Lytechinus pictus: one gene and its partners. The protein of the gene in region 4 purifies or fractionates together with the protein of the main gene of each other region. This does not show direct contact. Links are inferred from orthologs where the notes say so. Each region holds a gene or a part of one and is shown on either strand. Other genes may lie near its edges. The genes, in order: protein POLR1D-like, DNA-directed RNA polymerase III subunit RPC8-like, GPN-loop GTPase 1-like and DNA-directed RNA polymerase III subunit RPC2-like.

What was found.
Region 1: the proteins of DNA-directed RNA polymerase III subunit RPC2-like (region 4) and protein POLR1D-like purify together in Homo sapiens (affinity purification with mass spectrometry; 6 studies listed by BioGRID and IntAct, with this or other methods). This does not show direct contact. The link is inferred for Lytechinus pictus from reciprocal best matches to the Homo sapiens genes POLR3B and POLR1D.
Region 2: the proteins of DNA-directed RNA polymerase III subunit RPC2-like (region 4) and DNA-directed RNA polymerase III subunit RPC8-like purify together in Homo sapiens (affinity purification with mass spectrometry; 8 studies listed by BioGRID and IntAct, with this or other methods). This does not show direct contact. The link is inferred for Lytechinus pictus from reciprocal best matches to the Homo sapiens genes POLR3B and POLR3H.
Region 3: the proteins of DNA-directed RNA polymerase III subunit RPC2-like (region 4) and GPN-loop GTPase 1-like purify together in Homo sapiens (affinity purification with mass spectrometry; 4 studies listed by BioGRID and IntAct, with this or other methods). This does not show direct contact. The link is inferred for Lytechinus pictus from reciprocal best matches to the Homo sapiens genes POLR3B and GPN1.

The regions. Positions count from the first base shown.
Region 1 is NC_087249.1:40,692,376-40,699,601, reverse strand, and holds the start of protein POLR1D-like, read right to left. Parts: upstream 3,003-7,226; 5' UTR 2,881-3,002; intron 1-2,880.
Region 2 is NC_087254.1:6,939,310-6,946,769, reverse strand, and holds the start of DNA-directed RNA polymerase III subunit RPC8-like, read left to right. Parts: upstream 1-4,442; 5' UTR 4,443-4,532; intron 4,533-7,460.
Region 3 is NC_087252.1:17,444,243-17,451,212, reverse strand, and holds the start of GPN-loop GTPase 1-like, read left to right. Parts: upstream 1-3,947; 5' UTR 3,948-4,385; coding exon 4,386-4,553; intron 4,554-6,970. UniProt on the Homo sapiens protein: Small GTPase required for proper nuclear import of RNA polymerase II (RNAPII). May act at an RNAP assembly step prior to nuclear import.
Region 4 is NC_087250.1:6,009,949-6,016,945, reverse strand, and holds the start of DNA-directed RNA polymerase III subunit RPC2-like, read left to right. Parts: upstream 1-3,986; 5' UTR 3,987-4,072; intron 4,073-6,652; 5' UTR 6,653-6,664; coding exon 6,665-6,717; intron 6,718-6,997. UniProt on the Homo sapiens protein: Catalytic core component of RNA polymerase III (Pol III), a DNA-dependent RNA polymerase which synthesizes small non-coding RNAs using the four ribonucleoside triphosphates as substrates.

The DNA of each region.
Region 1 (7,226 bases), on a different chromosome or scaffold from region 4:
AGCATCGCCAGATCGGCCGATGCGAAACTGTATTAACACTCTAAACCTGTCATTGACATTAGAACGTCCAAAATATACACTACGTCGGCCTAGAATCTTATTATACTAGCACAATTAGCTATGCATGAGCATCAATTCTCTCCGTATTTACCTGTACGTACATACCTCCTCACGACCGAGTCAAAGGTCAAGTCACTGTGTTAACATGTGGAAACTGCAAACGAGGGAATCTTCTGGTAAGAAAATTTTAAATTTTCACCTTTTCTTTTTGTTCTTTTTTAAGGCACTTACGTGCATTTAGAGTATAAAGGCTTACGAATTGGAAAAATTACATGTTTTCCCAACAATTATTGTGGCAAAGATAGATTTCCTAGGGAAATCCATCTTTGTTTTGATGTCTCCTCGCTGAGGACCGTATGGGCAGGGTGTCAAGGCTCCATGATGTAAGTATAGTCTAGATGTCAAATTATATTTTAAAAAAAAACCTCATCAAGGAGTCCTCAAGGCTACTAGGTCAAGAAGACTAGAGTAGAGCCAAATTCAAGATTTTGAGTGCTCATGACGAAAAACTTCCATTTGAGAACACTATACCCCAGTTTCCCTTCTCATCAATTCTCTTCTCCAAGTACGACAAACTCTAACTGCCCCAAGCAAGCAATTTAAGTATCAAAACACCTGTTTCTTGACGTCGGTCCGAAGATAACACAACAGCCCGGCATATACAGTCACAGCAGGGGGCCACACACGATGGGATGCATGCGCAGCGCTGAGCTCGGTTTCTGCAAAACATGCCGTCATTTTTATTCGCTTAGTCCGGCTTACTTTCCTTATTAAGAGGCTGATTTTCTTCGTTCGAAATTGAAAATGGACTAACATTGGATTACTGAATACAATATGCCTTTGAAAACGTGATTAAATATCGAATACAATAATTTCATTCCGAAGGTCCTACTACAGGCAGAGAAGCCTTACGTAATAGCACAGCTGTTGTTTATCTTTTGGTCCTTTGCTCAATGCTCATATACTGGCATGTGGAGGTGAAATTGAGACAGCGGGGATTACCCCTGGATTACCTGGCCAAGCGCGGTTGATAAGGGCTTGGAAATGATATTTGGGAGATCCACATGAAAAATGGGGTATAACACCGCAGTTTGCAATCTGAACTGCGGTCTTTCTCCAAACGGGGGTTTGACGTAATGTCTGGAGACTAACGTATAGACTAGTACTAGTAGAAAAGTCACTCATTCAATGAACAAGGTTATATGATATTAGTTACCTTGTTCTTAGACCAAAAGCTTCAGTCTCTGTATTTTGGTTGTTCCGCTGAACTACGTTGGCTCCACTCACCATACATAGACTGAAGGGGATGGGGCCCCGTACCTACAGCCAACGTATAGTGAACTAGCGTTTTATAGATCGCGATTTAAAACTGTTTTTTAAGCAAAATTGAAAGTTTCATGGTTTCCATTATCAGGGAAATATAAATAACTTAAGTAATTGCATACCTTGGGCCGGAGTTATTGAAAAAAATCCTCTGGATGATTGAGAAATCTGTCATCTAAGACATTTTCACCTGACCTGACGGTTTTTCTTGCAAGTTGCCATCTTGAATGACGTCATTATCGTTATTAACTTAATGTCTCGAATCGATATATCGCGATTATAACTAGTACTAGTACTAGTATCGTTTATCTTCGGTTTCGTTCGCATATGGAGCAGATCGTATAATATCGAAAGCAATATCGATATCACATTCGTGATTGTTGACGTTCGTTTGTAAATATTTTATAGTTTGGCTGCCATTTTGACCATTTTTATCGTGTTCAACCCAATTAAACATCGGTAAAGTATATTTTTCATGCCTTTTTCATCTATATCGTTTAAAGTATGTAAATATTGAAATATCAAGGTTCAAAAGTTTGTTGTTTATACATCCTTAGATTGTAAATTCGATGTGTAAAATTACATCAAACTTTGGACTGTGAATTGACAAAAGGGAGGGAATGAGAACACATGCGAGCCCACACGTACACCCTACCGTCGGTAAATGGGGATTACAGTAAAATGTCAGAAATTGTTGAATAAATCCCCAGAAACGACGGTTATTCCTGTCTACCTTGTTCTCTGTTACTACTCCATGTGTGGCAAAATAAGGTTGGCAATGTTTGGCTTATTTTCTCTTTTTCTTTGGGACAAATGCTTGATATTTTTACACTGTCAGTTTCCATTACACTTTACAGCTATTCATCATAAATATTATAACTTGGTCTTAAGTAAATTTGATTCTTTAAATTATTTTTTCTTAAAAATAGAGATTGAAAAATGACAATTATCTTGCCATATTAGTAATAGTATTACTTTCCACAAGAGGGCATACACAAAATTATGCCCAAAATTCAAGTTTTCAAGCGCTCTGGTGAATACCGTACACAAATTACGGTACCGGTACTCCCAAATTACTAATAAAAAATAAATTGCAACTGTATGGAAATTAGAATTTTTGGTCACAAAAGTGATATTTTAATGTCTGAACTTTTAAGTGTGTGCTGTGTACTGCATTGGGCATTGGCTTACCATAGATCTAGTACAACAAGTAACGTTAGATCTAACGTTAGATTCCACAGGCAGGGTGATTGCAGTGAACAAGTGGCAGGCTCTCAGACTCAGTCACGCGCCGCGCCGGCTCCGCCGGCGTGAGAGTCTGCCTGGGTTAGCACCACAGTAAATTAATGGTGTGGGACAAAGGTAAAACTAAAGACTCAAGTCAAACAAACGCTCTTTATTTTTCGCCGATTAAATTACAGACCCCCTCTTGTTCTCTTTTACAGTAACTCCCACATTTTTAAAGTACATTAAAGTACGAATGACATGTTCTTTTACCAAATGGAAATACACTGTCAGTCATCGCATAATCACGACAAGGACTTCTCAACTCTGCGCTGTTCGTTCGTGAAAGCAGACAAATAAGTGAACGCAGCTGACTATATAATTTCAAGCACGTCGCGTCATAAGTACAAGTACGGTACGGTATACAGTCCGCTTGAAACTTGTCAGCTACGTTCACATGGCCTACATGTAGCCTGTTCCAACATAAACTAATGCAGACCTTTTGGAGGGGGCGAAGATGCCGCCCGACCCCACTCCCCGATTGGAGGGGCAAAAAAAAAGTAAAAGAAGGGGGTAGGGAAGAAGGGGAGAAAAGGATGGGAAAAAAAGATAAGAGGAGCCAAAGTGAATGATTCTTTTTTTAATGAGATTCTGCTTTACTGACATGACTGAGGAAAAAAAACACCTCGGTATAACATGGCCGGGGGACTAAAGTATCCTGTTTCCAATCCTGCCCGCGGTTCGAGTTTTAATTATTTTTTTTCACCGAGATACCCACCATCATGAATTTAAAAAATGCTGAAAAAATGGAGCTTGCGCTACGCGCTCGCAGTCACATGCATACAATCTTGTTATAAAGTGCTTAACACGTTCCCTCTTGCGGTTCAGTATATAAATTTTAGCTCGCGCTTCATGGTTGTATTTGTTTGAGATACTAGTGCTCAGCTAGAGATTCATTTTATTTATTTTAACGCCAAGTTTACCTATTGGAAAATTACAAATTTTCAATTTTGGCTTCGCGCTCGCATCATTTATTTAGGAAGATACATTCTTTTCATGATTACAAAGAATATTTGTCCCGTTTTTAGGTTTTCGGCTTGCTCTTCGATCGCGCTCGGCAATTATGATTAATGTTTTTTTTTCATATATTGTTATAAAAAAAGTGCTTAACCTATTTTTTTAGGTCGAATTATCAAAATAATCCTGATAATGTTTACAAAAATTGTTCAAAATTGTCAAGTGTTTCAGGTCGAGATAAAAAAATCAGTTCGCGCTTCGCGTCACATTATATGGTTGGTGAGATTTGTTCCTCCGCATGAGTCACTGCAAATAGTTCAAAGTATGGCCCTTTTCGGGTTTGTGTATTAAGATTTCAGCTCGATCGCGGTTAGCCCTCACATTAATTGTTTATAGAGACATACCCATCTCGATCTTAAAAAAATTGCTTAGAATGTCAAAATTCTTCCAGTCGGAATATAAACAATTTAAAGTTGATGCTTCGCGCTCGCATTATTTGGGAGGTGAAATATGTATCCTTCACATGAGTCACTGCAAACAGTCCGAAAAGTGGCACTTTTCAGGTCAGTGTAAAAAAAAATTCAGCTCGCGCTTCGCGCTCGCATAAATTTTGTTTCTAGTTAGATACGTATCTTGATCATGAAAACAAGAAATGCTTAGAATGTTCAGATCTTAGATCTGACAATAATGTCTACATGAAATAGAGACAAAGTGGAATTAGACCAGCCATCTTTATTTTTTGCACCAACAGCTTCAACGTTTTCGCACTAGGACTTACCTTCCCTGTCTACGCTTCATGTTTTGCTTTGCTCTTCTAACCATTGTGGGACTGTGACGAAGAACATAATATGTCTCATGCTAAGCAGGTGCCTGCAAGTCACCAAGGATGTGTTATACACAAAAATTTCAGAAGCATTTACTCGGAAAATGGTTAGAATAGGGGATAGAATATCATTGAAAATTGCAGTGGGAAACCAACAAATAGCTCGGATAAAGTTCGCTCTCAAAAAACAATATCTCGGTCACCCATGACATAAACAATGTGTCATTTAAAGTCAGTGGCGTAACAGGCGGGGGGGCAGGGGGGGCAAGCTGCCCCCCTCCCAGGACCAAAATCCAATTGAAACCAGTTGGATTTCCAATTGGTTTCAATTGGTTTCAACTGGTTTCAATTGGTTTTAACTGGAATATAACAATTTCCAGTTGAAACCAATTGAAACCAGTTGGGCAACTGGAAATCCTAACTGGAACCAGTTGGGTAACTGGAAATGACTTCCAAATGGAAATGATTTCTAACTGGAACCAATTGGGTAACTGGAAATCCTAACTGGAACCAGTTGGGTAGCTGGAAATGACTTCTAACTGGAAATGATTTCTAACTGGAACCAGTTGGGTAACTGGAAATCCTAACTGGAACCAGTTGGGTAACTGGAAATGACTTCCAACTGGAACCAGTTGGGTAACTGGAACCAGTTGGGTAACTGGAAATCCTAACTGGAACCAGTTGGGTAACTGGAAATGACTTCTAACTGGAAATGATTTCTAACTGGAACCAGTTGGGTAACTGAAAATCCTAACTGGAACCAGTTGGGTAACTGGAAATGGCTTCCAACTGGAAAGGATTTCTAACTGGAACCAGTTGGGTAACTGGAAATCCTAACTGGAACCAGTTGGGTAACTGGAAATGACTTCTAACTGGAAATGATTTCTAACTGGAACCAGTTGGGTAACTGGAAATGACTTCCAACTGGAAATGATTTCTAACTGGAACCAGTTGGGTAACTGGAAATCCTAACTGGAACCAGTTGGGTAACTGGAAATGACTTCCAACTGGAAAGGATTTCTAACTGGAACCAGTTGGGTAACTGGAAATCCTAACTGGAACCAGTTGGGTAACTGGAAATGACTTCTAACTGGAAATGATTTCTAACTGGAACCAGTTGGGTAACTGGAAATCCTAACTGGAACCAATTGGGTAACTGGAAATGACTTCCAACTGGAAATGATTTCTAATTGGAACCAGTTGGGTAACTGGAAATCCTAACTCGAACCAATTGGGTAACTGAAGATGACTTCTAACTGGAAAGGTGATTAACTGGAAATTAATTCTAATTGGAACCTGTTGGGCAACTGGAAATCCTAACTGGATCCAGTTGGGTAACTGGAAATGACTTCCAATTGGTTTCCAATTGGAAATTTTCCAGTTACCCAACTGGTTCCAATTGAAACCAGTTAATTTGCATATTATCTGCCAGTGTGCACAGATTAATGTTTTATGTGATTCATCATCATTTAAAATGTATCTATTTAATTCTTTTCTAATTCAAGTACCATACTTGTTTCAGATAAGTGTTTAGAATGCTTAGCAGTGAAAACCATGTTCATAAATGTTATAGATTATAATTAAAACATATTATAAGATAATTAGTACACCACTAACTGTTACCAAATTACATCAAATACAAATACATATATTTGAAGATCTTTCATATAAATATATATACATGAAGAAAGTCTATTTTATCAATGCCCTTTACATTGGTATTAATAAACATATAGCACTGCTTCTTTGTTGGCATGAGCAATAGTTAGTGCAAATTTTAATTAATTTGTCATTAATTAAGTCATTCCAACTGGAATTTCCAATTGGATCCAGTTGGAAACCAATTAGTTTCAACTGGATCCAGTTGAAACCAGTTGCCTCCAATTGGTTTCAACTGGAACCAATTGAAACCAGTTGCCTCCAATTGGATTCAACTGGTTTTAATAGGGAAATTGGAACAACTGGAACCAATTGAAACCAGTTGCCAACTGGTACGTTGCTTGAATTGGTTTCAACTGGAACCAATTGAAACCAATTGCCAACTGGTTCCAGTTGCCCAATTGGTTTTAACTGGAACCAGTTGGCAACTGGTTTCAATTGGTTCCAGTTGTTCCAATTTCCCTATTGAAACCAGTTGACCAACTGGTTTCAATTGGTTTTGCTCTAATTGGTTTCAACTGGATTTTGGTCCTGGGCTGGCGGAGCTCACCGGGAAAATAAGAAAAAAGGGAAAAAGAAAAAAAGGGGGAGGGAAGGGAAAGGGAAAGGAAAGAAAAAAGGGGAAAGGGAAAGGAAAAAGGAAAAGAAAACTAAGAAAAAACATAAAAAAGGGAAAACGGAAAGATAACGGGGAAAAGGAAGGAAAAAAGAACAATTGAGAAAGAACAATTCGCCCCGATATACAAATACATTAGCATGATTAGTAAGACAGGGAAATAAATTAAAGATGACAAAAAGGCAAACAAAAGCGGGAAATAAAGGCAGAATGGAATTAGCCAAAATCTAAATTGGAAAATAAAGAATAGGGACAAGATAACGTACACTACCGGGCTGCCGAGGATTGAGATAACGAGCGGGAAGAAAAATGGATGGTATATAGCATAATGTCCTATGAAAGTCTATCATAAACTTGCTAAATCTCCAAAGGCTCTGTCCAAGAGTCAAGACCCCGTGCAGTGGGGGCTTTTCATCTGTAACCTTTAATGGGTTCTATAACGGGCCCCTATATGGACCCTTCCTGCATTAAGCTTTACGTTAAAGCACTGGCGTACCGGGGGGT
Region 2 (7,460 bases), on a different chromosome or scaffold from region 4:
GAAGCGATATAAATCCCAGAAGACAACTCAAAGATTTGAGCACTATAAGCAGTGCCAGAAAGAGGCAAAGCATGAAGTAGAAGTAGCCAAAAAAAGCTTTGAGAAAAGACTAGCTGAGAATATAAAGGAAGATACTAAAAGCTTCTATGCATATGTGAGAACGAAACAGAAGGTAAAGGATTCCGTCGGGCCTCTTAAGAATGAAGCTGGCGAAACAATTAACCCAGGAGTTGATACAGCTAACGCCCTCAACAACTATTTTGTGACGGTGTTTGCAGATGAGAAAAATGAAGCACCCATTCCTCAAACAATATTTCAAGGACCAAATGACATGTTTCTCAAAGACTTCTCGATAACCGATGAATGTGTCAGAAAGAAATTGGAAGCGCTTGATCCAACAAAGGCTGCTGGACCAGATGAGATACCTCCAGTCGTTCTCACGACTATGGCAAGCCAACTATGTGCACCCCTAGCCTACATATTCAACAAATCCTTAGAAGAAGGAATAGTGCCTCCAGATTGGAAACTTGCCCATGTTATCCCAATCTTTAAAAAAGGATCAAGGTCAAAGCCTAACAACTATAGACCAATCAGCCTAACTTCAACAGCTGGGAAAGTTATGGAAAGCATAGTTAGAGACAAGATTACTGAGCACGTTGAGAAACACAACCTTATCTATGACACTCAACATGGCTTCACCAAAGGAAGGTCAACAACAACGAATTTGCTGGAGTATCTCGAAATCATCACAAAGAGAGTCGACGAGGGTACGCCAGTTGATGTCGTATACCTCGATCTAGCAAAAGCGTTTGACACCGTACCACACAAAAGACTAATCAGGAAAATTGAAGCACATGGGATCGGTGGTAAGTTACTACAATGGATCAAAAGTTGGCTCAGTGATCGTAAACAAAGAGTTAGTACACAGCGAGCAGAATCTGACTGGAGGGAAGTTACCAGCTCCGTTGTTCAAGGCTCTGTGCTGGGCCCACTCTGTTTTTTGATGTATGTAAATGATATGGATATTGGAATCAACAATGACTCAAAAATCAGCAAATTTGCAGATGATACCAAGCTTATACATGCCGTACAAACTGACGAAGACATACAAGGTATGCAACAGTCGATCAATCACCTCGATAGATGGGCAGCAAAATGGCTGATGAGATTCAACATAGACAAGTGTGCAGTTATGCATTTTGGATCCAACAACCCTCACCAAGTGTATTCACTGAATGGCTCTGCACTAAAAGAAACGGTCGAAGAAAAAGATCTCGGGATTCTTGTCAATAAATCACTAAAAGTTGCTTCCCAATGTGCAGCAGCGGCCAAGAGAGGCAATATGGTACTAGGGATGATCAAACGCAACTTTACATTTAAAAATAGACAAGTGATCCTGAAACTGTACAAATCGCTGGTACGTCCACACTTGGACTATGCAATGCAGACTTGGAATCCATACCTAGCAAAGGACAAACAAATACTGGAGAAGGTCCAAGCAAGAGCTACAAAAATGATCCCTGATATCCATGATCTATCCTATGAAGACAGGCTTGCCAGATTAAACCTCACTACGTTAGAAAGGAGGAGAGAAAGGGGAGACCTCATTCAAACATACCGGATCATGACACAAATGGACAAATCAAACCCAGACAATTATTTCCAGAGAGTAGAGTGTGCCAGAACAAGAGGACACTCTCTTAAATTTTCCAAGCAACGATCTAGACTGGATATACGGAAACACTTCTTTAGCCAAAGGGTTGTCAATAAATGGAATAAACTCCCACAGTCCACAGTTGACGCACCAACACTCCTGCAATTTAAGATACAATTATCAAAATTGGGTTTTTAAATGGGCTCTAAGAGCCTCCTTAACCCTGCCACACTCATCTGTACACCCTCGTCATGAAGACAGTGAGATGTGGCCATCAAGGTAATTTCAAGGTAATATTTATTTTTCTATCTATCTGTCTAATAATTATCTGATTAAATATGTCTGTCTATCTATCTACGAATCTATCTATCTGTCTGTCTGTCTCTTTATCTATATATCTATCTAATATTTTTTAATATGTCTGTATATCTGTTTATTTATCAATCAGTCAATCTATCTATCTATCTATCTATCTTAGCCGAGAATGTCCACCGAAAGCGATGACGTCTTCACCCATTCAGTCATGTATGCTTTACCGCCTATGTCTGGTTTGAAGAAGCACTGCCCGTGACAAAATGGTGAGAATTTTGTTTTGCAACGGAAGTACAAGCGAGTTGACCAGTGAAATGTAGCCTTTTGTAAGCTTCATTTCATCAATCATCGCGATTATCGTATGTCAATGAAGTAAAAGACAGACGGAATGGAGAAAAGGGAAATTTCAACACCTTGTCCATTTAGCTCCAGAGATAGTGTAGTGCCATGCGTGGAGCTATCCATGCTTCATATCATGCCTACAAAACGTTAGTGATTGATCGTAGGGCAGAATGCAACAGCTGATATTGCACTGGCTATTGTGCATAATCAGTAATAAAATCAAACTTTATGTTTTGTGTTCATGGGCCCACCTCGTGGTGTATTCTCGGGCACGCGTGGGAAAGTGTCGTAATTGGGTTCGCTGGTATCCCCATATCCTTGTCATTTTGTGTGTTGCAACCGGATTCATGATTTCTCCCCTCAGCACAGCGAAAATTTTGCAACCATCTCTGTTACCTCGTCCTGCCAACAATGATGTGCGCCGCCTACAGGCCGAAAAAAAAGAGGAACGTATTTTTTTGCAATTGAGTGAAATGAATTTTGCAACAAGAGTGAAATGTTTTACGTAGCGAGAGGAATGGATTTTCACGTGAGGAATGAATTTTACGTACAGTCTAATACGGCAGCCGCCGTCGTATGTGTTATCCAACAAAAGTGAAAGGATTTGTTTTCTCTCAGATTTAAAATGTAACAAGTGAAAAAGAAACTAGATTTTAATTCGTCGTGCGGACGAATTAGGTGGTCGGTCGTAGATAAACAGACATAATTATTCATACAAATGAGTGGATATAAGTATGAAAGATAAATAGACAGACAGATAGACATACATATTTAAACAGATACGTATAAGAAAGATAGATAAATAGATAGATAGATCGATGGATGGAGAGATAAATGATAGGTGGATTGATCAATAGAAGATAGATATATATTAATAAAAGGGATTAATATATAGATAGATATAAACAGATAAATAGGTATTAGATAGATAGACAGATAGACATTAGATAGATATTGATTGATGATAAAAAATACGATGAGGAGGATGATGCTGATGATTGATGGCAAATATGATGATGATGATAACGGTGATTATGATATTATATTTGATATACACATAGATTCAGAGACAGATAGATACATAGATACATACGCAGATAGATAAACAGATGGATAGATATATAGATAGAGAGAAAATAGATTGATATATTTATTGATAGATAGACAGATAGAATAACATATTTAACAGATTTAATAGATAGATATTAAATAGATAAACAGACAAATAAACAGACATGATTATTTGCACAGATCAATAGATATTAGATTGAAAGATAAAAGGTAGACATACAGATAGACATACATATTTTGAACAGATAGACTTAAAATAGATAGATAGATAGATAGATAGATAGATAGATAGATAGATAGATAGATAAAGATAAATAGGCAGATAGATAGAAATTAAGACAGATATACAGACATTTAAACAGCCGGATAAATCATTAGATAGATAGATAGATTGAATGATAAATAAACAGATATAGACATATTAAAATAAATAAATAGATATTAGATAGATAGATATAGAGACAGACAGATAGATAGATAGACAGACATATTTAAACAGATAATTGTTAGACAGATAGATAGAAAAATAAATAGTTCGAAAGATAGATAGATAAATAGACAGACAGATAGATGGATAGATAGATAGATTTAAACAGATAGATATATATTAGGCAGAGAGATAGATAGATATATCATGTAGGTAGATAGATAGATGAATTTTACGTACGGTCTAATACGGCAGCCGCATGTGTTATCCAACAAAAGTGAAAGGATTTGTTTTCTCTCAAAATTAAAATGTAACAAGTGAAATGATTCTTTTCAAAAGTGAAACATATTTTTTTTGGAAAAGTGAAATATATTATTTTTTGAAAAGTGAAATATATTTTTTTGAAAAGTGAAATATATTTTTTTGAAAAGTGAAATATATTTTTTTGAAAAGTGAAATATATTTTTTTTGAAAAGTGAAATATATTTTTTTGAAAAGTGAAATATATATTTTTTTGAAAAGTGAAATATATTTTTTTGAAAAGTGAAATATAAATTTCTTTGAGTGAAATGGTTTAGTAGAAGAGAAACATATTTTTTTCAAGTGAAATATATATATAATTGTTTCCCTATGGGCGTGCCATAGTCGAGCTTACAAGTTACACGATTTGCATTCACTTTTCTCGATTTAGGGTCCAAAGAAATCTTCTCCTCGGCGCCGTTGTATGTAAGTTCTTTTTGCATTTAAGTTTATTTCATCAATTAAAAGAATGAAAGTACCATGGAGTATGCAAGATTAGAAAATATTCATTTATTTCTTTGTTAAATCGAGGTAAATTTTGGTGATTCGAAACGTAACATGCAGAAGTTTAATGCTGTGTCCCATACGTAGTGATTTGTGTATTTGTTTTTTTATTATTATCATCTCAGTCATAGTCAAGCATAGTCATCATTAGACCAAAAGCTTCAGTCTCTGTATTTTGGTTGTTCCGCTGAACTACGTTGGCTCCACTCACCAAATACAGAGACCGAAGTTCTAGCGCGATCTGTACAGGGGACTCAATGGCCATATGTTTATGTACTTAAGATCGGATAAAACGGGGAAGTGAATTTGCGCGACAGCCGAGGTAAGTCACTGTTTTTGTTCCTTTTACCTTGATTTTTCTCCGTTTTTGGGCAATTAATGCCAAGAGGGAATATTAATTTGCATTTTGGTCGCGTTAATTTTCAAAATTTTTATTCATTAAAGACAAAAATTGAAGAGCCCCGACGGGGGGGATTTCGCATTGCAAGTCCCCTAATGGTGGCTGCACGCTAGCGAGCCGTCTGTGTACGAGAAGAATTAAAAAAAAAAAATGTTAAAAAACTCCTCGAAACAGACGGATGGCAGCTGTCTAAGTCATCATAATCTGGTATATTTCCAGGGTTGGGCGGTAAATACCGGTAGCGGTAATTACCGGTGGTAAATACTGGTAAATACCGTCCGGTAAATAAGATGGGCGTCCGGTAAATATGGAAAAAACAGGAAATATGATTTATAATTCTTTTTTGTCTCGCCTGCATAGCAGAGCGAGACTATAGGCGCCGCTTTTCCGACGGCGGCGGCGGCGTCAACATCAAATCTTAACCTAAGGTTAAGTTTTTGAAATGACATCATAACTTAGAAAGTATATGAACCTAGTTCATGAAACTTGGACATAAGGTTAATCAAGTATTACTGAACATCCTGCCTGAGTTTCAGGTCACATGACCAAGGTCAAAGGTCATTTAGGGTCAATGAACTTAGACCATGTTGGGAAAAAAATTTTCAAAATCTGAACCGAAGGTTAAGTTTTTGAAATCACATCATAACTTAGAAAGTATATGGACCTAGTTCATGAAACTTAGGCATAAGATTAATCAAGTATAAGTGAACATCCTGCTCGAGTTTCAGGTCACGTGACCAAAGTCAAAGGTCATTTAGGGTCAATGAACTTTGGTCAAGTTGGGGGTATTTGTTGAATTACTATCATAACTTTGAAAATTTATGGATTTAGTTCATGAAACTTGGACATTAGGTTAATCAAGTACCACTGAATATCCTGTGCGAGTTTCAGGTCACATGACCATGGTCAATGGTCATTTAAGGTCAATGAACTTTGGCCGTGTTTGGGGTATATGTTAAATTACCATCCAAACTCTGGAAGTTTATGGATCTAGTTCATAAAACTTGGACATAAGAGTAATCAAGTATCACTGAACATCCTGTACGAGTTTCAGGTCACATGACCTTGGTCAAAGGTCATTAAAGGTCAATGAACTTTTGCCGTGTTGGGGGTATTTGTTGAATTACCATCCTAACTCTGAAGTTTATGGATCTAGTTCATAAAACTTGGGATATAAGAGTAATCAAGCATCACTGAACATCCCCTGTGAGTTTCAGGTCACAAAACCAAGTCAAAGGTCAGTTAAGGTCAATAAACTTAGGCCATGTTGGGGTAATTGTTGAAGTGCCATCATAACTTTGAAAGTTTATGGATAGAGTGATTGAAATGTGGACATGGGTGTACATGTAGTTGACAGTCTTAAGTCTCCGTTCAAATGTCATTTATGGTCAATGAACGTGGTATTATGTCATTATATGAATGATGTTTTTGTGAATGATTATTTTATAGTAGTTTTCAAAGTTAGCACTGCTGCTATATTAAATTGCGTAATGCAGGCGAGACTGCCAGAGGCGTTCCACTTGTTTTCAATAATTTTAGTATTTTTTTTAGTTGTTTTTAACCTCAACAAATGAAAGTAGTGTTCTGAAATAATTAGAATCACAAAACTCATAGTAGCTAGAAACACACAAACAGATAAAATCCATACTGCATACATGTACATACCCAAACACACATAGGATCTAAGTCCACACATACGCACACAAACTCAAATTATGTTCCTGGAAATTGAATAATCATATTAAAACATAAACAAATATTTCTCTTGGGGTTTAACTTTTTACATGCCATTGTATCTCATTACAATATGATTTTTGTTTTAAGTGTGAATAAAGCTCTGTATTCTACTGTATGTAAGGAGTTTTAGTGTTTACATGTATGAGTGTGTACTAGTGGTTGCTGGTTTTGAATTTTGATATTGCTTACAGAAAAAGATCTTTTTGTAGCCTAAACAAGGCAAAAGCAATTTTGTGTCTCGCCCACTTATGAAAATAACCAGAAATATCGTAATTTGCGAGGGCACGCAAGAGAATTATATCAAACTTCATTGTGAAATGACTGGGATGGAATAACACTTGTCATAAGAGCCTTGCACGTAAACTTTAATGTTGACCTGAAAATGACCTTTGACCATACCATGTGACCTCCAACTGCAGCATAACATGCAGCTCGCCTAAGTACACCTACCATCCAAGTTTTGTTGAAAAATAACTCACGGATGCGGAGTTAGGTGTCATAAGAGAGTCTTGCATGTAAACTTGAACGTTGACCTCAAAATGACCTTTGACCTAACCATGTGACCTCTGACTGCAGCATAAGATGCAGGTCCCCCAAGTCCATCTACCATCCAAGTTTGGTTGAAAAGTGACTTACAGTAGTGGAGTTATGTGTCATTACAGGTTTGTGACAGACGGACGACGGACGACATTTGGATCCCTAAGTCTCGCCTT
Region 3 (6,970 bases), on a different chromosome or scaffold from region 4:
AAAAATGGCATTTAATCATTAAAGACTTTAAGAGCAGAGAGGAAGAAACTGAGGTTAAACATAAAATACAGAAAGATAAGGGTGAAACATACAATTGAAAAAAAAACAAGGAGAAAAAAAATGAGGGAATTAGACAAAAGTGACGATGTGTCAAAATATGCCCTGATATATTTTGGTACAAAACGGAACCTGCCCGGGCCTCTATAGCCTATAATCTAGGCGGAGGCTAATGTCTTGAACGGTTAATGTAATAGTTAATGTCTTTGCTGTTATGCTGAACGCAAGCGATACGTCTGATGTGACAAAGACAATAAATGCTACCTCCGCCTAGATTATAGGCCAGGGTCTCCTCTACAAAATATAAGGGAACCGCTCGCATCATCTATATGAAGGTGATAATTAAAGGCAATGGACAAGTCTATTACCCTCCAGCATGTACCTGTTCTAAGACAGAGGGTCGTTTAGATTCGCAACATTTTGATTTACCGAGAATATCCCAGAATCATACCATATATGGCAAGCCATTTGACCCATCGACGATAAACATAGTTTATCGTCTTTATGGGTCAAATAGCTTACCATAACCATACCACTTTAAAATTCGGGTTACACTTCGTAATTCCGAAGGTTCTTTATTCCGAAGGTTCGTAATTCTGAAACACGTAAATTGCCTATACCTCGATGTTCGTTAATCCAAAAACGTAAAAGGGTTCGTTACTCCGAACATTTGTGGCATTATTCCGTAGGTTCGATAATCCGAAAACGAAATAAGGTTCGATGTTCCGAAGGTTCGTTAATCCGAAAACGAAATATATGGTTCGTTGTTCCGAAGGTTCGTTAATCCGAAAACTAAATAGGGTTCGTTGTTCCGGAGGTTCGTTAGTTCGAAAACGAAATAATGTTCTTTAATCACTTCGTTTTCGGACTAACGAACCTTCGGTATTACGAACCTCATTTCGTTTTCGGACTAACGAACCTTCGGAATTACGAACCTTCAGAAATACGAACCTTCGGAATAACAAACCTTCGGAATATCCGAACCTTCGGAATAACGAAGCTTCGGAATTACGAACGTATGCGAAAATTTGATCTGACGGGCCTGCATGTGTAAGAATGCATTGACACATTCGGAAGTAACAAGAAAGAGACAAGTGTTTTCAGAATTGTTCAAAGGAATATCGATGTGATCTTAATGGTCTGATTCATTTATCCCTGACAAATTACTTTGCCCATTGAACTTAACATTACAAAATGATACAAAATGATGAATCAAAAGGTATAATTACATTTGAGAAAACTCAGCATCCCTAAAAATAAAAATTTACACGAATATGGATTCTACAGTATGAAACATTTTGAAACTTGGTAAATCTGACCAAGATGTTGTTCAGACAAAATGTAATTGTAATGAATAAAAATAATGTTCAACAATATGTTGAGTTTATAGGCAACGTAGATCACACCAAAGGAAAATGTAATAAATTCAATAATGAAAACGTGCACAATGTGAGACTGCATCAGGCAATTATCTGGTGAACAAATGCAACTTTGAAACTACAAACATGAAAATGGGATTAAGATAAACAAGCATCCTTCGAAACTTTAACCTTATTTATGCCTATATGGATTTTTATTATTTGAAAAAAGGGTTAACTTCTTGTGACTTTTCAAATAGAATAGCTTTAAACTCTAAGTAGGGTCCAATAAACCATTGGAAGCATTCGTTTAAAATCTCTCTGTTCAAAGTACGCATGATAAAATAGTGAATGCTCATAAAAATATAAATTCATATATTCTTATTGAGACTCAACAAAAGAAACGAGGATTTTATAGTTAAATTATGAACTTATTTTTATAATCATTGATGACACCCTTTATAGGGCCGACCCCAAGAAGAATTTACATTTATCTTGCTCATTATTAACTTTCAGACAATTGTGCGTATGATGTTTTGCAACATAAGAGCGTAAGATATTAGATGCGTTTAACACAACCTGGGTCAGCTTTCTGTAGATGGATTGCTATAAACTTTAAATCACGCTTTATTGTACTTTAAGCTATTTATGGAGTGCCACGAAAAATGTATCTACATATGAAATTTGAAACTGAAGTTTTTTTATTGAATAGTTTTGTTCTTTTATCCAAAACATAATTGCTATTAGGGGTGATTTCTGAAGATAAAATGTCAGCAAGAGTACTAAAGATATCAACCTGCAAACATTCTGTAGTAATATATTCGTAATATTCTTACACATCGTGTTTACATGTAATGCATTTACTATTTATTTAATAGTAGACTTAAGTTGTTTTTCTTTTTTGATAAAATACTATTTTGTCTTTGTTTATCTGCTTATAGTATTTGAATTGTATATTTGTTTTGTATTATTTTGTACATTTTGTTTTGAACAAAATGTTGGCGGATGCCAGACGTTCTAATAGATTCAATTCACATAACGGAGCATTTATTTTTTATTATTACTATTATCATTTATTCTAATTTGTGTCACTCTTTCGTTGGTACCTTCGATATTTTGTATAGTCTCCTTTTAAACTGTCTTCCGTCTCTCATTTATACTATAGTTTTGTAATGTTGTCTTTACGTATTGAAACTAAGTTACAGGCAGACAGGGGCTTGCCTCACATACAAGCTTTGCTTTTTTGGCAAGCCCCTCCGTTCTGTTTTTTTATATAGTTAATAGTCAAAGTTACTTTAGTTCGCATTATAGTTCTCATTGTTTATACCTTCTAATTCTTATGCATTATTCCGATTAATATTGTACTTTAAATCTGACTATGTATTGTTACTTTTATTTTGTTGTGCTTTTTGAACGGAAAATGAATAAATCTAAATTAATCTAAAATCGAAGGGCAAGTGGAATTCCTCTTTTATTTAATTGATACATAATGCAACCAATCAAATATGTCATGTAAATTTAGGAACTTGTTTTCATCAAACAAAATATCAGTATGAGATCACTGGCGGATCGAGGGGGGGGGGGGGGGGCTAGTCTACAAATGTAGACCCACATCTGCAGTGTGTGAACCACAGCTGATTCAAGGAGTTGCATAGACTAGGTCTACTGTAGCTGCAGATCTGAAATGGCTCGCTTCGCTCGCCCTTTCAGGCTAGCTTCGCGCTGAGATCCCACCTAACGAGCCATTCAGAGTCTGCATAGCAGACTATAGGGGGGGGGGGGGCAAAGCCGGCCCGTTTTGGAAATGTACTCTGAATAATGAATTAATGACTCTTGAATTTCTGGAAAGAAGTTTACTTAAATAAGAAGTGTGAACTTAATTCCAACTCTGCTTCCAATGTTTAACCCCAAGGAATTTTGCACAAGACTTCAGTAATCTGAACCGCATGCCTTAGTTGTAATATTAGCTGGCAATGTTGCTAGAGTGTTGCTGAATAACATGTAGTTTGTTTTAACAAATGATTCAAGGAAATTAAGCCTGATTTTGTTCAGATAATCATCCCGTCATGTCTACAATCCTTCAAAAAGATGATGAGATGACAATTAATAGATCTCGATCTCATGTCTTTATCCAATATGGGAGATGATCAGATGACAAGATATCTTGGATCTCGTCATATCTATACATGCCGTTTGAGATCGATGATCAGATGACAATATCCTGGATCTCGTCATGCATGTCTACATCATGATCCATGCAGTGCAGATCATGGATCCAAGACCTTGTCATCTGATCATCATCTCCACAACTCATTAATGTAGACATGACGAATCCAAGATCTCAGTCATCTGACCATCTCTCCCACATGTAGACACGACGAGATCCAAGATCTTGTCAAATGTCAACTCATATCATCTCTCCCACAGGATGTAGATATATGATGAGATATTGTCATCTCTCCCACAGGATGTAGATGATGACAAGATCTGAGATCTCGGCATCTGGTCAATTTTTCCTAATTATAGAGATGCAGAACATATAATAAGATTATTATCTGAACATCAGGGTGGCACGTATACGTTCAAGCTTCATTATGTTAGCAATGATCCATTCGTTAACAGAAATCAATTCTGTATTGACAGTCAGCTAGTGCAACAATAAATTGCAGGGGTTCTTTTCAGAAGAAATACATGTATAGGCCTACATGTATGCGTCATGAAGGAAATCATATGAGAAATAAGGTGAACCTTGCACTCTGACACATGTAATTGACTGCATATATAAGACTTAACACCATCTAAGAATACAAACTGTTCTAACCAACCAACCAACCAATTAACCAACCAACCAATATACCAACCAACAACCAACCGAACCACCAACCAACGAACCAACCAACGTAACCAACTTAACCAACCCCAATCATGATCAGCAGCAGCCGCGTATGCGCATTATCTTGATAAGCCAAAATGGCGACGCCCATGGGTATTTCTGAACCTCGTGAGAGTGACAGAGTTAGCAGCGAAGACGGTGAGAATGGAGGTGCTTCTGCTGGGGGATTGCACAACACTGACACCAAACCACCATGTTTAATCGTATTAGGGATGGCAGGCTCTGGTAAAACGACTTTCGTTCAGGTAAATAAAAAAAAAATGCGTCCATGCTTAGCCCATGCCCCACATATTGATTATTGTGTTGAGTATACAATTGAATTGTACTGTAGGATGGGGGGTCGCACCCAGGCCAAGGGTAGCCAGGCGGCTTCTAGAGAGTAAAAATCATTTACTAACGTAAGGTCACTCTCATACGAAGCCAGGGCTTCCGTCATATACTTTTGCGTGTACCACCAAAAAACCTGAAACTTTCGCCCCCGAAATTTCTACTTTCTTTCTAAAAGATCTAGCCCTAAATCATGTAGGGATAAAACTTCATTTCCGACATTTCTACGCTCTCGTTGTTATTTTTGAACAAGAATTCATCAAAAAAATGAGAGAAATATTGTGTAAAGACGGAAGAGACTTGCCCGATGTTTACGCCGCCATCTTGTTTCCTATTGTTCTTCGCCAACGTTACAGACGCGTGCATCGGGTAACGTTGGGGAAGAACAATACTATAGAAAACAAGATGGCGGCGTAAACATCGGGCAAGTCTCTTCCGTCTTTACACAATATTTCTCTCATTGTTTTGATAAATTCTTGTTCAAAAATAACAACGAGAGCGTAGAAATGTCGGAAATGAAGTTTTATCCCATGTACATGATTTAGGGCTAGATCTTTTAGAAAGAAAGTAGAAATCTCGGGGGTGAAAGTTTCAGGTTTTGGCTTCCATTGTGTGGGTCTATGGGATAGAAGGCCTGGCTTCATGAGAGTGACCTTACGTTAGTAAATGATTTTTACTCTCTAGAAGCCGCCTGGCTACCCAAGGGTTCATTACATGCCGCCGCGCACAGAAAATTCAAGCCATAGAAGTCGTGTGTTGTGGACCCAAGAAGTGAGATCCCAGCACGCGCTACCCACTAGTTAGAAATCCACTGCCAAACGCGGTTCGTGGACGTGGTGCGAGGTTAGTAATACTAATACTAACCTCGCAATACGTGTGAGTGGGGGGGTCGTAGCCAGGAGGCTTCTAGAGAGTAAAAATCATTTACTAACGTAAGGTTACTCTCATACGAAGCCAGGTCTTCCTTCCTATACTTTTGTGTGTACCACCAAAAAACCTGAAACTTTCGCCCCCGAGATTTCTACTTTCTTTCTAAAAGATCTAGCCCTAAATCATGTACTTGGGATACAACTAACAACTTCATTTCCGACATCTCTACGCTATGGATTTTATTTCTAGACAAGAATTCATCAAAAAAAATGAGGAAAATATCATGAATAGACGGAAGAGACTTGCCCGATGTTTACGCCGCCATCTTGTTTTCTATTGTTCTTCTCCAACGTTACGCGATGCAAGCGTCCGTATCGTGGGTGAAGCAGACAAGCAGACATGCCTAGAACATGAGTAGAAATCGAGACCGAGTATGAGTTCAAGTGTGTATTAGAGTCAGAATACGCATACACAAAATTGGCGACGAGGATAAAAAAAACCTGAAAAGGCAGAGGATGTGGCTCGACGCGTGGACCTTTCACAGCCAGCACCCTTTGATGTTCGTTCGGCTAGAGCAGGGATTGCCTGGCCAAAATGGAGGCGGACATTTGAGTACTACCTTGCAGCATCAGGAGTCTCAGCAGATGGTCAGAAGAGGGCTCTTCTACTACATTGTGCTGGACCAGATGTTCAAGAGTTGTATGAGACACTGGTAGATGAGGATGAGCCTAAGTATGAGACAACGCTGAAGGCTCTGACCAAATATTTTGAGCCCTGGAAGAATGTGGTATTCGAGAGACATGCATTTCGACAAGCAGTTCAAAGTGATGATGAGACAGTCGATGAATATTGCACTCGACTATTGTCGTGTATTGGCAGCATCATGTGCATTTGGTGAGCACACAAACTGAGATTTTGCTTACCCGTGTGGTATCAGTGAGAAAACAGATCCTCTGAGAATACCTTTCATAATTCATATAAAATATAGGAAAGTGGAATTCTAGGTCGATTTTGGTACGAGGTGACAGAGTATTGCAGACTTCTTTCGATGGAATATTGCGTGGGGCACGGGAGGCTTGCAATGCGCATGCTTACTATATTTTCATTCATAAATTTGCTTGCGTCGCAGTGACTGGATGACGTCACTGCGCTGCAATAGAAACATGGCGACGATTGAACGATCTGTCACATCATCATCACTTGAAAAACTTGTATATTTATGGATATTTCGAGGGTTATTGGTGAGATTCAAAATGAGACTTGTGTACTTTTGTGATGAGTTACAATCATGTCTTACACTACGCAATACAAATCAAATACATGTACGTTATACTGGTGAGCAATTTTCGGGTATCGGGTATTGATTTTTCTACCCGGGTACCCGAAGCTTCCGGGCGGGATCCGGGTACCCGGGTTTTAGTCCCAGCCCTACGTATTACACGAGGAACAATTATCCATAGACTGT
Region 4 (6,997 bases):
AGGAAAATAGGAAGGAAAAAAAGAAGAAGGGAAGGGGAAAAAAAAAGAAAAAAAAAGAAAGATGATGATGATGAAAATTATCTTGGTGATGATGATGGGTTGGTGATGGTGGCGGTGATGATGATGATGATGATGATGATGATGATGATAATGATGGTGGTAGTGGTGATGATGATGAGAATGAAGTTGGTGATGATGGTGATGATGAAGACTAGATGTAATTTTGTTATTTTGTCTTTGAAAAAATTAAGTAGTGCATAGGTGAATTTATTTAAAGTTAATTATGAAAATAGCAGAAAAAATAATTTGAAAAATTGGTATGCGTTCAGGAAAAATCCATCCCCCACCAAAAAAAAATTAAAGGTGAGATTTTTTAAATAATTATTTGTGACGGCGTAGGCCTTTGCGAGCAGCTATATCGGATATAATTATGGTAAAAAGTAAATGAAATGTCAAGAAATACGTGATAATGACTTTTATTGTACATTCAGTATATCAATAGATAACTTCATACTCTCTCCAAAAAGAAAAAAGTGGGTCATTACGGACCATTAAAAATGGGAAATTTTTGCATTTTGTATTACATAGAATATTGAGCAACTGCTCGTTTATGACGTCACAAATCAAGCATTCGAAATTCTACTAACTCCATTTTTTTTTAATAACACCTTCACCGATGTTTTGAAATTATTTTTATTTGGCCTATATTTTCACAATCTTTTTATCAAGGTGAAATTCCCCTTTACAAAACAGTATCCACATGATCAGTGTGTAGCGGTAAATTATTCACCTGATAACTATAGACCTATCTATAATTCATGCGGCTATGTTTAATAATATATTGCTGTGAATAGAATGAATGTCATTAAAAACATAATCTCACTGATCACTAATGCCAGCTCGACGCGCGAACTGAAAAAATATATTTTCTGCCCCGATAATTTGATAACCCTAACCTAACCCAATTTCTAAGTATTTTTATCATAAACAGGATAACTATAGACAATTAATTGAAAACTTGATATTCTTTTGCGAAAATGAATATGAAGGACAACTTTTTAATAAAGAACACAGTTTTAGAGCGTGATTTATATATACAACCGCCTAATCCTGTCACTGTCGGTATGACATGAAGCAGTTGGAACTTTCTGATTCCATCAGCTTAATAATTTTTGCAACAGGCGCCAGTCCAACAAACAGACAGACATTTGCCCAAACAGACAACATCTCAACCTCTGCTCATTTCTTTTTGCACGGACACATAAAATCTCGACCTACCCATCACTTTTCTCACTATTTTCTCCTCCCTTTTATTTTCCATTAATTTTTCTTTCGTTCACTTTTTTTCTGTCCTCTTTTTCCTTCTATTTTTTTTTCTCGTCTCACCGCTTTTCCTCATCCCCCAGCCCCCGACGCCCACGCAGATTCGCAAACAATATCAAGTGTACTGTTAGGCAAGGGCGGAAATCTCTCCCTAAAGGTAGCCGGGACCAGGGGCTGGAAAATTTGACAAGAAAAAAACAAACAAACAAAAACAAAAAAGAAGGTTTATCACCCCAAAAAGAAGGTCATCTTGACCAAAAGAAATTTGATAAGCAAACAAGCAAAAAAAAAGGGCACCCCAAAAGTAAGATTGTCTCTTCCAAAATACATATTTTATTTCGATTTTGAATGATAAGACCCAAAATAGTAGGGGGATGACATTTCATAATGTGTCCCCCTACTATTCTAGGTGAGGGGGACATGTTCCCCTGGAATTTGCGCCCCTGTGGGTGGGGGGTGTTGCGCCTCCCTTTCGGAATCATTATGGAAGAGTGTAAATACTCGCTGTGATTTCGATCTCATACCTATAAAAAAAAAATAGAACAGCTACGCCTTGAACACAGGCCAAAATGCCTAACGATTTCTCCGCGGCATTAACAACTATCGTAAAGGGCGCTCCATTTATCAATAAAGATGGATGTTAAGCTGTCTATGGCGACAAAATTTGCCGCAGATATTTACGAAGAATTGTGAGAAATGGTCTGAAAATGCAACAAAAGAACCAGTGAGTACCGATTAAACATTATCAATTTATTTAATAGAACATATTTCATGACTACAATGTAACAATTTCTCGATAATATTGCTTAGTTCTAAGCTAGGGCGGCCCAAATGCACGTGAGTGGAGTCCCAGTTTATTAGCACGGGTAAGTATTGGGGTGTCGCCTAGAGTGTTTGTAGGGTGTCTGATGCCACACTGAAAAGTGTCAGCATAAGACAGGCTGATTTAGGGGAAAATGTGGCACATTTTTTTCGGGAAGTTCAGGCTACTAGAAAAACGTGGGCATGTGATCTGAATTGATGATTAACTTGTGTTTGGCATGTATGGAAAGAGAAAATTCAGGGGCTTCTTTTGACAGGAAGGACAAGTTTATATGATCATTTGAATTACGGATTTTGAAATAAATTGCAAACCCTTATTTATTTTTGTGTGTGTTGAGATTGCCATTTCCCCATGCGTTTTCTATGGGAAAATGAAATTTCTGTTTTGCACAATTTTTTCACTTTGTCGCAATTTTTCAATGTGATCTGGTTTCCAAATCTTTATAAAAATCATACCATCAGAAAGAGCATAAAAAATCCTATTGGACTCTTTATGGACAAGTTTTTGGCATTAATAATAAATTTATAACAGCTCTCGGAAGCTAAAAATTTGGATTTGTGTGTGTCCATTTCTTAACTACACAGTCTATGGCATTTGTTGTTGTTGTTGTTGTTCGTTTTGGGCCTGTTTCACGCCCTAGTAGTCTCCTCGGTAGACACTTAGTGTTGAGAACTCAAAGGTAGAAAAACTGCTAGGTAATTGTTTTGTTGGCTAGTTTGGCTAGATGTTAGCGCTGGTGGATGAGACAAATGCTACCACCGATGCTCTAATTATAGATTGCATTTGCTTGGTCATTGCAGGGTTGAAGCCCAGGAGGGTGACCACCGAGTCTATGGCAGAGAAATGCTGAAAATTGACCTAATTTCATTCTTCTTTTTTGTAGCCAATAATCAGATTTTTTTCAAAAATGTTACATTTCTGTCAGGCTGAAGGTCATTTCTCTTCAAATTCACAAAGAAAATGTGATATTTTCTTGAAATAAGAAAAATAATATTTTTCTCCAGACACCCTAATGATTGGTTTTTTGACACAGCTCAGTTTTAATTTTAGTCAGTATTCATTTTAACCCAGGAGCTCACCGTGTATTTACCCATACTCACGGGACAAGGGTAGATTATGGTCAAAATATCTAGCAAGATAAATTGTGAAAACAGAAATTATGCACTTACCACGATTATAATATAATGGATGAAGGTCTAGTCTATCGAGTGGTAGAATCCTGACATCGAGGCACAGACTGGAACCTCAAAAAACAGAAAAGTTCTCTCCTTCTACCCCAGTCTCGATCGGCCATCGAGACTGGGGTAGAAGGAGAGAACTTTTTGTTTTTTTGAGGTTCCAGTCTCAAGTCAGCTATGTACATAGGCAGTGGCCCGCGCAACTGGGGGTGGGGGTGGAGGCTAGTTGGGCTTTATCCCTCCCCCTCCCCCACTTAAAAATAAACTTTGTACAAAATAGTGAAAGTTACCATCTGGTTTTACCACAACTTTTGACATAGCACCCCCACCCCCAGTTTCAAACCATTCCGCTGCCCCTACTTGGGTTATATCAGTAAGCACAAGAAAGGGTCACAAGTCATGCATAAAGTCATTCACAATTTTTTACGAAAAACCCACCAGGTGAGCGTTTTATGAAAGACCATGTCGGACGTTTTATCCGACAGTTATCACAGTGACAGTGCTTCTCAGCCAATCAAAATCAAGAAAAGTTCTGACAACATGTCGGATGAAAATATTAATGAAACACTCCCCTGGCCTCTGTAGCATAAAACGTTAGTGACCATTTACCAGACACTCTGATGATGTTTCATTGTATCTTTAATTTTTTTTTTCAAAGGATAAATGGAAGCTTCTTCCGGCCTTCCTGAAGGTGAGAGGGTTGGTCCGCCAGCATATTGACTCGTTCAACTACTTCATTAATGTGGAGGTAAGTATTTGAACGCATACATTCGTAATTCTGAAGCTTTGTTATTCCAAAGGTTCGTTACTCCAAAGGTTCGTATTTCCGAAGGTTCGTAATTCTGAAGGTTCGTTAGGCCGAAAACGAAATAAGGTTCGTAATTCCGAAGGTTTGTTAGTCCGAAAACGAAGTGAGGTTTGTAATTCCGAAGGTTCGTTATTCCGAAAACGAAATGAGGTTCGTAATTCCGAAGGTTCGTTAGTCCGAAAACGAAATGATTAACGAACCTTATTTCGTTTTCGGACAAACAAACCTTCGGAACAACGAACCTTATTTCGTTTTTAGATTAACGAACCTTCGGAACAACGAACCATATTTCGTTTTCGGATTAATGAATCTTCGGAACATCGAACCTTATTTCGTTTTCGGATTATCGAACCTTCGGAATAACGCCACAAATGTTCGGATTAATGAACCCTTTTACGTTTTCGGCTTAACGAATATCGAGGTATAGGCAATTTTTTTCTGGGGGGGGTGGGAGGCTTTATCTGGCTCTTGAGCCAATTTAAAGGACAAGTTTAAAGCAACCAAAAAAAGTTGATTTGAATAAAAAGGAAAAAATTCAACAAGCACAATACTAAAAATTTCATCAAAATCGGATGTAAAATGAGAAAGTTATGACATTTTAAACTTTTGCTTAATTTCACGAAATAATTATATGCACATCCTGGTCAGTATGCAAATGAGGGACTGATGACGTCATCCATTACTATTTTTTTTGTATTTTATTACATGAAAAATTAAATATTATAATTTTCTCCTCATTGTTAGGTGAAACAACAGTTAATTCCTCACTGAGCAGGTGGAATTAGCATTGATTATTACTATATGGTTCAGTCAAGTTGGTCCTAATTGTCAAATCTGTAAAAAATGAAATATATAATTCAAACAATAAAAGCAAAAATTGTGAGTGAGGGACATCATCAACTGTTTCATTTGCAGGTCACTGAATTGTGCATATCACTGTTCTGTGAAAAAATAAACAAAAGTTTCAAATGTCATAATTTTCTATTTTACATCCGCTTTTGATGAAATTTTCAGCGTTATGGGAGTTAATTTTTCTCAATTAATTCATATCAACATTTTTGGGGGTGGACCTGACCTTTAAAGGAAACAGAGCTGCCAAGTAGTACTGGTCTTCAGTATTTCGTACTGAAAAATGAGAAGAATACTGGTGATTTCATGCAAAACACTGATTTCTAAAGTTTCAGTTTTATGGTTCTTCCTGTAGACTGGTATATATTTCTTTCAAATAACCCAAAATACTGATTTTCAGCTATACAAAATACTGTAATGTTCTTGTTCAGGTTGGCAGCTCTGAAGGGCTACTCTAAACTGAATAAAAGAAATGATTTCAACAGATAAGGTAAAATCAGATATAAAAGTCCTGAAAATATCATCCAATTTGGACAAGGATTAAGAAGTTTATGAAACTTTTAACAAGTAGGCTTGTGTCGAAACAGAAAAATCAAAGAATACGAACAAAGAAAGTTTGAGAAAAATCGGACAAATAATAAGAAAGTTATGAGCATTTGAATATTACAATCTCTAATGCTACAAGGAAGTGTGATGTCACACATGAACAACTTTCCCTTTGATGGACTATGAAATACCCTGAAAATGTGTCTTTTTGCTTTTTCGTATGGTTATACAAACTCTTTATCCATGATGTATTCTTTAAAAATCTGTTTTACATGCCCACCTACAGAAAGAATAAATGTTCTACTGATAGATGTAATAAAAGAGGCAATTTAAGTGAAATATATACTAAAGTAATGGGGAGAGATGTTCAAGAGTGACATCACACATCTTTGTCGCATTGCCAATGTGAGGATCTCCATAGCATTAGTGATCGCAATATTCAAAAGCTCATAACTTTCTCATTATTTGTCTGATTTTTCTCAAACTTTCGTTGATCCGTTTCTTTGATTTTTCTGTTTTCACACAAGCTATCTTGTTCCAAAGGTTTCATTCTCCTTTAAAGTTTGCATTTTTTTATGAGCAAGGTGAGATTATCATATCCCCATGTAGGCCTCTATTCTTGTTTTATTTATTCATTTATATTTGTGTTTATTTATTCATTTATTCTCATTCACATTTACTTTATTTATTTATATGTTTGTTTATCTATTTATTTATTTTTCATTTATTTGTTTATTTATTCAATTATTCATTTATTCATTCATATTCATTATTCATTTAGTATTATACTATTTTCAAGTTTCAAGTTTTTTTTTCAAGTTTCATTTATTTCTCCTCAAGAGATCAAGATAAAAATACATAAAAAATAGACAATGTAAGTACAATGAACATCAACTTTAAAGAAAGTGAGGAAGGTAATGACCAAAAAGGATGAAACCTTGTGTGAGACCAACCCATAACAACAATTGTACTTAAAGAAATCTTAAAAACATCATATAATCACAAATTCAATGAGAAAAAAAAACAAAAAAAAAAAACACCTAACTAAACCTTAACCGAATGAGAATGGGGGGGGGGGAACCAAAAATAAATCTAAGACTTATTATTTGTTTATTACATTTACAGATCAAGAAGATAATGAAAGCAAATGAGAAGATTACCAGTGATGCTGACCAAACTTTCTACATGAAGTGAGTACTATGTCATAAAGACATACAATTATCATAGTCATTATCATCACAACCAGTGAGCAGTTTATCATATGATTGACTTTTGATTTATCAGCTAGCAATATTCTTAGTACGTAGAATATATACTTGATTGTTTACTTTCATCATGAGATCTTTTAGTAGCCCCCGTGCCCGTCTTACAAAGAGTTGCGATTGATCTGATCATTCGCAAGTATGGAAAGCCAGTTAAGTAAATATGTAAAATGCATGTTCAAAAATTTTTGCTAGATATGATGTATAT